Linked DNA regions of Nothobranchius furzeri. The protein of the gene in region 1 purifies or fractionates together with the protein of each later gene. This does not show direct contact. Links are inferred from orthologs where the notes say so. Each region holds a gene or a part of one and is shown in the gene's direction. Other genes may lie near its edges.

Region 1 (3,822 bases):
AGTGTACTAAGTTTCTATTTCACACTGCAACAATCCTTACGCAGTGTTTTGTGGTGCTGCTTCAAATGCACGATGAGGTTGGACGTATTAAGCTTTCCCAGGAAACTTGTGCATGGCAAGTATTGCACTGAGCCACAGTGTCTTTTTCAGACTTTAACAAAAAAATCCTGCCACGCGACCGACGTCGCTCATGTTCTTTGCTAGCATGCACGGTTCTGATCACGTGGGCTTTGCCTGCTGGGTCTGGCCACTGCTGGACAGAACTGCTGGAATTAAATTCAAAGCAGAACGGACTGCTTATGTTGGAGATTTTTGATGCAGTCTGATATAATCTGATACAGCGGTTTGGGGCTGATATCGAACCTATTTCTGGTATCAGTATCGGAACAGGGCATTCCTACTTTTGTCATCCGTTAATCTTTAGACTCGTTGATCTTGTAAAGGAAATGTTTTGTCCTACCTACAGACCGAACCCAGAAATTAGTTTTACTTCAAACGGCAATGCAGCAAATTGTCATTGCAGAAAATCTGAAATCAGAGTTTAAATTTCTAATCCACACTGTTGTAGAAGCCGCTGCAGATTATTTGTCGCTCTTGGTAGTCAGCCAAGTGTACTCATGCGTGACCTATCGTGCCCAACATCATCAGCTTTATCATTCAGGCCAATTAGTTTGTCATCTCCAATGAAGCTGAGGTTATAAAACGTTTACAAGTTGAATAACATGCAGCATGTCTTTTAGATTAAAAATCCTCTCAAAATCCCCATGGCATGCCTTCCACCAGAGTGTGAAAAGTTAGAACAACAGGTACAGCTGAGCCTTTACTGGTTTATTAATTATATTACTTATTTTATTTCTAATTCTAATCATGTTTCCTATTTTTAAAAGGTTCCACGGACTGCGTTTGCAGGCTGCAAATACAAATCTAAAAATTCACAACATAAAAATGGATCTGTGATAGTTGATCGCAGACATGCAGATTTTATATCTCAAGAAATGACTAGGTAAGTGTGTGGCGAAACGGAGCCAGCATGTAGACTTTCACTAGATAGTTTTTGTAGTCATAGTTTTTGCTAGATCTGTCAATTCTGGAACTCCCAATTAATATGAAGTCATCAGTAAGTAATTATAAAGTGCAATAACGCCTTAAAGTAATTCTGACCTAAAAATAAGCATAATCACAAGATGTATACGGTCAGGTTTTCGGTTTATGAAGGACCCATCGTGCAGGTGAGTGATCCAGAACAAAGGCAGGTTAACTGAAATATACTTAAATAAAATAAACTGAGGGCAAGGACTCTTCAGGAACCAACCAGGTAAATACCAGATTTAACAAGAGGATCTAACACGTGGTGCATGAACTGGGGTAAGGGTTTACCAAACAGGGACAAGTCAGCCAAAAGGCAAACAGGTGCATAATCGCTAACTGGGGGAGGCGGAGGGAAAAAATGGAACGACCAAACCAAAGGCACACTGATTTATGACATATACTAGTGTATGTTGTTTTTAAACATTTAAAATGACTTGTAGAATTAAACGTTCAAATGTGACGTTTGCACATCATTACTCCAATGTTGAGCTTATCACGACCGTGCATGTGGCTTATCTGGAGCACTCTGCTCCTCCGTGTTGATCAGCAAGTCTTATCTGCTTTGAAAAGGGAGCTCAAAGTTAGGAAACCTTGATGAACCACGGAGTTGCTGTTGAAAATGAACAATTCTCTGTTTTCTCGTTTAGGAGGAAACCATGTCTCATCTTAACGGATGTCCTGAAAACAAAAATGGGAAAGGATTTTAAAAGAAGGGTAAGAATGAGTAGTTTAACTAGAAAAAGAGGACGACAGAGGAAGAACGGTGAGGAAAGCAACAAAGAAGCACTGATCAGCAGGAACACTCGGTCTGTTCAGAAAGAAGCAGCAAATAATACCAGAAGCAAGAGTTTACCTCTAGAGAGCAGCTTGAAGATCACCACCCCCTCTTCTCAAAGGTAGGAAATTATTATCAATGTCAACGTTTTGGAACGTGATTTTAATAGAAAGTTTTATCCATATCGCTCCCAAACATTTACAGTTGAATCAGCCATTTTTCTTTTTTGTCTTTAGAAAAGGAGCCAAGAAAAGACAAAAAAAGTCTCAGGAGGACAAAGCAGAAAGCCTAGAAGCTGAAGAGGGGATGGTAGATGGTGATGGTGGTGAAGAAGCAGAAGAAACGATTGCTGAAGTGTTAGGTGGGTCAGCTTTTGTTAATGGTGACTTAAAATAAGTTATTTATAACATTCAGAGAAAAGGCTTTCATTCAGGATGATGTAGAAAAAAATGCATATTGATCATTATCAGTAATTATATAAAAAAAAACTGTAGAAAATGTATTTGAAGTGCGGCCCTGGCAATCTTATGCTATTCCTTAATTAAGTAATTTTAATGAAGAGCAGACACAAATGGACGCGTGGTGGCGGGGAGGATCAGCTAACTGGACCGGCCATCCTTTGGTGAATGTGAACCGTTGAAAATATTCCAGCTGAAATCTTAAGTGGAAGTATTTCTGTGTGTTTGTGTATTTTTGCCTTTTATATACATCCATCGCAGATATATTTGGCCTGTAAACAATGAGGAGGATGTGATTATTTATACAGTTTAAACAGGGAGCCAACAAATCTTTTGCTGCACGTTGTGCAACCTGTGCTGTTGCAGCTGAGGGAGAAGCAGACAGGGAGGGCGACTGGCTAGCAGACCTGCCCAAAAGAAGAGGGTCCATGTGTCAGACGTTTTTGCCTGAATATCAAGAACAGTGGCCCTCTAAGCTCCCTCACCATGCCTTTTGCACAATCTGCAGTTATGATGTGGACATAAGCCACCAGGAAGCTGCAGGTAAATTAGCCCCGGTGATGTGTGCGTATATGGTTTAAGCTACGGATGTCCCGATCAGGTATTTTGCCCTCGAGTCCGAGTCATTTTATTTTGAGAATCGGCCGATACCGAGTCCTGATCCGAAACTTTTGATACATAAAAAAATAAGAAAAGGAAGAAACAGTTCCAGAATGTTCCTTATTTTTTATTTAATTACCTTTTTATTAAAATTTTTAACAACATATCACTTCTGTGAGGTAGCTTGAACAATCAAGTAATAAATAACATAAATTCTTCACTTTAGGACTTTATTGCAAATATAAAAAGTCTAATATAAAAACAGATAGCACTTCAACTTAAACTGACTATATGGAAGTTTGACAGCCAAAACATGTGTAGAAATAATAAATTTCTTCTTCATACATTCTCCTGCAATGCCCTGGTCCTGTAGAATGAGCCCTGGCGTTTTTACTGTGATTGCCTATTTTTCTGTAAAATCACAGAAAAAGAGAGCTGCTCGGGTCGAGCAGGCTGCTTCATGCGCGTTCACGCTCAGGCATAGCCCGTAGCATTTGCTATCCGTAGCTTTAGCAGTAGAGAGAGAGGTAGTGCCAACTCAGCAATTTTATCGCTGTTCCTAACGCCTAGTGATGAACCTAGCTACATTTCTGAGGACCCTTAGCTACTTTCTGTAGAACTTTCTTCTAGATTTTTCCTGCAAATTAGCAACAAAATAGCCATTTTCGCTCCGAACTGTTCTTCGGATTGACGTTGTTTCAGGTGTCATCAAGGATATAAAAGTTACAGATACGAAGAATGTCACTGGCGCTTTAGCTCACTTAGTAAGATGTCTGACTCTCATGTAGGGGACCTGGGTTCGATTCCAGGTGTGAGTAGTTTATTTGGAGTTTCTTTTTTACATTAATGATAATTTTTTTACAGTTAGACGCCCAAATTTTTATTTGAGACGCGCCGAAC
Region 2 (4,541 bases), on another chromosome or scaffold:
TGTCTCGAAGCTCAGGCCTCCGATGAACAGCTTGCGGAGCTGCTCCGGCTCACGTGGAACCTGCACAAAAATATTTGCGTCATAGGAGAAGCAATGCACAATATAGTTCCGCATAATAATATTGTCGGTGGACCATTTATATCAAACTCTGCGTCTTTGATCAAAAATCAGGGATAGGGTGGAGAAGGCGCACCGCCGCCATTACAGTTTAGGAACCGCTCAGACTAAAGTCAAAGAACTCCTTCTTTCAAAGAGCCAACACACAATTAATATGTACTCACTGTCGTTTAATGTGTTAGGGATATAATCGTTTAAGACTGGTGTTGAAGAGAAGCCACTGATGTCCTTTACAGATCATCATCAGAACAAAAGGCCACGAGGCTCAGCTTCTATAAAATGGCGGCTTCAAGAAAGCTCTGCAGCTACGGCACACAGTCCGTCGACAACACCAAGTATGGCCAACCTATAATAAAACTACCCAAAACCAAACTATTAATCTTACGGCCTGATATCCTTTGATAAGTTTAGCACTCACCTCTTTAGACATTTTGCCGCTTTATCCTTGACGACTCCTTGAGAACCGACCGCAGAGGAACTAGCTGCGTCAGACAAGACCAGCGACAGGGTGAACGTACAAGAAATAGGAACGGAAACGCCTCTTCCCCTCAGCGATTGGTCTGTAGTTCCCGCGGTACTGTGTCGTCAATCAGAACTGTATTTTGATTGGTCTAAATTTTGTCAATCAATGCGAACAACCATTCACTGCGTAGTAGGCATTCGCCTTTGTCGACCATGAAGAAAAATGGCCGACCTAAATTACATAAAGCCAAAAATGAATGTGCCTTCATCTATAAACAAATTATCTGAATTGACAGAGAAATTGAATGCTCACATTTAAAAGGTGCTGAAAAAACGACTTATTAACTTTTTTCTACGAAACGAGCCTAAGAAAGACAATAAACAATATAAAAGATAGACAAATTGCCGTCTGGCTAAACAACACGGGAAATATCATTCGCATGTTGGTACACAAGATGTCCCGTAATCAAACAAACCGATGCAAAATGTACAACTCTTGAAGAGTTTATGCTAAAGTATAATTTAAAATGAGCCAAATTAGTTAATCTGGGCTTTGTGTGTGGTGACTAAAGGGGGAAAATAACATGAACATAGAGAAATAAATAAATGCAGCAAGATTTAAACGAAAAATATATGAAAACATAAATTACTACAACAAAGTAGACGTATATATATTAATTTCTTTATTTTCAGTCAAATAATTGTAACCCTTTATGCTGTGTTTTTTTTTATTTTGTATTATCGTGTATACTTATTTTGTAAATTATTGTGACTGCAAGTTACTACAATTTTATAAACCGAACGTTAACGTTATAGAAAAGTTAAAATTTAGTAGGAAGGAACGTGTTTTCTAAACATTTATTATGTCACCAGCAGACTGGGGGCGGGTATGTTCATTGTGCGTTTTTAACGCGCGCTTTTTGCGCACGGCACCTTTATGTGCTACAGGCTAGATGCTAACGCTGGTGCTGCATTAGCTGCACTGCTGCCTCTAGATAAACGGAGCAGTCCCTGCGACCAGCGGCCTACATCCAGTGGGTTATACACTCCGAGGGTAAGAAACTGCGTTTTTGTAAATGTGCTTTACGCTGTTGCAAGTATCGGGTAGTTGTTTGATAAGTAAATTAGCGAGTATAGCATAGCTTTAGCACGTAAGCTAGCTCCTTTGGCTAGTTTGGGGTTAGTTAGCAGGACAAATCCCTTGGTCTTCATTGAACTGTGTGCTTTGTTCGTTTTCTGTGAGTGCAGTCTGGTCGCATATAACTATTTCAAACGGGCATATGTCGAGAAATGCACATGTATGGCCATTATATTAGCAGTTTTCCCATGCTTATCGTTCTGCTAGTGGGAAGAACGAGATTAAATGAAGATATTCATTGATGCACGGTAACCACGTTGTGTGGCTAACGCTCATGGTTGCAAACCTGCAGCTTGAGCTTAAATTTATGTGTTTACATGTGGACGAGCGCTGAGAAAAAATGGCATGTTTTGTGAGATGCTTGTTTGTGATTTCGTCGTGAACAGGAAAGTGCCATCGAACTCTAAAAGAGTGTAGTGTGAAGCACCCAACTCCGAGATGGGCAAAAAGTCACGTGAAGAGGAGTCCTCATCTGATGAAGAAGAGTATGTTGTGGAGAAGGTGCTGGACAGGAGGGTGGTGAAAGGCAGGGTGGAGTTCTTCCTTAAGTGGAAAGGATACTCTGAGTAAGTACCAAGTACCTGTTTACTGGTCAGTGACTTGATATTCCCGTTTTACACACACACACACACACACACACACACACACACACACACACACACACACACACACACACACACACACAGCACAAAAAGCATCAGTGAAGCTGGTTTGAGCACACAATATTACCCTTTTAAAAATGAACGTGACATTTCAATGACTTGTGCTGTGATTTTCTGCAGCAAGCACAACACATGGGAGCCAGAGAAGAATCTAGACTGCCCTGAGCTTATTTCAGAGTTCATGAAGACCTATAAGAAAAGCAGCAGCAGCGGTGGTAGTTCGACACCTAGCAGCGGGGCCAGTAAATCAAGCACAGGCTCATCTGGACGCACTAAAGATCCCAGCAGCTTAAAAAAGAAGGGCTCTGATGAAGAGGAGGAAGAAGAGGAAGGAGGAAGTAAGCCAAAGAAGAAGAAAGAGGTAAATTATCTTCATTATAGGTGAATTTCATTGACTACGTTTACATGCAGCCAATATCCGGGTTATGATCGGGTTAAGGTCGGTATTCGGGTTTCTGAGTTGATCAGAATAACCCGTTTACAAGCCCGTTTACAATAAATAGAAAGAGTTACCCCTAACTTGCATAACCCGATTTAAATGCGGACGGTGGGGTAGCGTCAAGACATATGGACTACGTCCAGACGCAATATGCCTCATTTCCGGTTCTTCTTGTTCCGGTATCCGTGAAAACAACAACACGTTTCCCAGTTCGGAAGAGACGGCGACCGCGTTTGTTTGTGCTTTAGTTTCTTCGTCACTGCGAAAGTGTGGTGCTGTGCCGCGACTCGCCATGTTGCTCCCAACTTGTTGTTTACTTCCGGTGTTCTGGCGCATACAAGACGTCTCGCTACTCAAAAGACCAAGATTCCTTGCGAACAGAGCATGTGCAGAACACACGCTTTGATGGGGATATCCCGGTATGCGTTTACACGACCAAACATTCGGGTTAGAAAAGGGTTACGCCAGGTGTAGTAACCGGGTTTTTAAAAACCCGGTTATGAGCATATCCAGGTTTTTGGCGGTGTTTACAAGGACCTGCGGAACCGGGTTATTGTGAATATTCGGGTTTTAAAAGGGTTACTGGCTGCATGTAAACGCACTCATTCTGATATGAATCATTTGTATGCGTGGGAGCATTTGTACTTAGCTCTTCTGAACTGATTTCTGTAAAGACTGTTTATATTTTAGCTAAATGTTGTAAAATGTATAATTTTGAGATGAAAATGATAAATTGTTTTTTTGAATTACCAATAATGCATTAACTTATGGGCAGGTGATGGGCAACACCTATACTTATTAAATAATATAAGTTATATCTAGATTTGACCTGTGTTTAGAATTGCTGAATTTATGGCCAATGAAATAGCCCTTTGGCAAATATTCAGCTGGCATTTTTAATTTTTTATTTTTTATTTTTTTACATTTCAGGATGAGATCCTAGTTGCACGTGGCTTTGAGAGGGGCCTAGAGCCAGAGAAGATCATTGGGGCAACCGACTCGTGTGGAGACCTCATGTTTCTAATGAAGTGGTAAGTTTTACTGGTAGACTCATTTTGGGAGATCTTCATTCTGTTATAATGACAATGCACTTACTTTTATGCACTTTGGTAATCATAATGCACCCATTTCGTAGTAAAACAAAATTTTCCTCAGACATAAACATTAGAAGCTAACCTAGCACAGGGGGGACTAACAGGCCTTTGTAGAGCTTGGTGACCTGCTGAACAGGTAATTCAACCATTCAGGTGTATTGCAGCAGTGAGATGACTAAAACATGCTGGGTATGGGGATCTCAGACACACTTGATCTAAGAGGACTACTATTCATTCTCGTATGACAAAGAAATATGCTTAAGTATTATAAAGTACTTACATTTTCAACTATTAAATGTCTAAAACAGAACTGGTTAAACGGTGCAGAATTGTTGCACCAGAGCACAGCACGATGTCCTATCATGAGCTTAAATGTCTAACAACCTGAATCTTTAACACCACATTACTACTGGCAAATCATTCATTAGCTAATCGCTGTTCCGTCATAAACAGTAAGCCACATCATAAAACTTTATGCTATTGCATATTAGCTAAATTTATACATGCAGTAAATTGTCCCTAAGCAGAAGTGATGGTTGTAGATTTTGGAAATTTTGTTTTGAAATGGGAAATTTGGTTGAAATAATTTGGAAAAGTGAAGGACAATAAGGACAAACTAACAATCCCTA

The links.
Region 2: the proteins of sentrin-specific protease 7 (region 1) and cbx5 purify together in Homo sapiens (affinity purification with mass spectrometry; 3 studies listed by BioGRID and IntAct, with this or other methods). This does not show direct contact. The link is inferred for Nothobranchius furzeri from reciprocal best matches to the Homo sapiens genes SENP7 and CBX5.

Annotation. Positions count from the first base shown.
Region 1 is NC_091754.1:27,609,089-27,612,910, reverse strand, and holds part of sentrin-specific protease 7, read left to right. Parts: intron 1-740; coding exon 741-806; intron 807-887; coding exon 888-1,003; intron 1,004-1,736; coding exon 1,737-1,985; intron 1,986-2,100; coding exon 2,101-2,225; intron 2,226-3,822. UniProt on the Homo sapiens protein: Protease that acts as a positive regulator of the cGAS-STING pathway by catalyzing desumoylation of CGAS. Desumoylation of CGAS promotes DNA-binding activity of CGAS, subsequent oligomerization and activation.
Region 2 is NC_091755.1:25,772,127-25,776,667, forward strand, and holds the start of cbx5 (chromobox protein homolog 5), read left to right. Parts: upstream 1-1,495; 5' UTR 1,496-1,633; intron 1,634-2,103; 5' UTR 2,104-2,155; coding exon 2,156-2,283; intron 2,284-2,499; coding exon 2,500-2,740; intron 2,741-3,748; coding exon 3,749-3,849; intron 3,850-4,541. Other genes in the region: heterogeneous nuclear ribonucleoprotein A1, read right to left, coding at 1-60, 536-547. UniProt on the Homo sapiens protein: Component of heterochromatin that recognizes and binds histone H3 tails methylated at 'Lys-9' (H3K9me), leading to epigenetic repression. In contrast, it is excluded from chromatin when 'Tyr-41' of histone H3 is phosphorylated (H3Y41ph).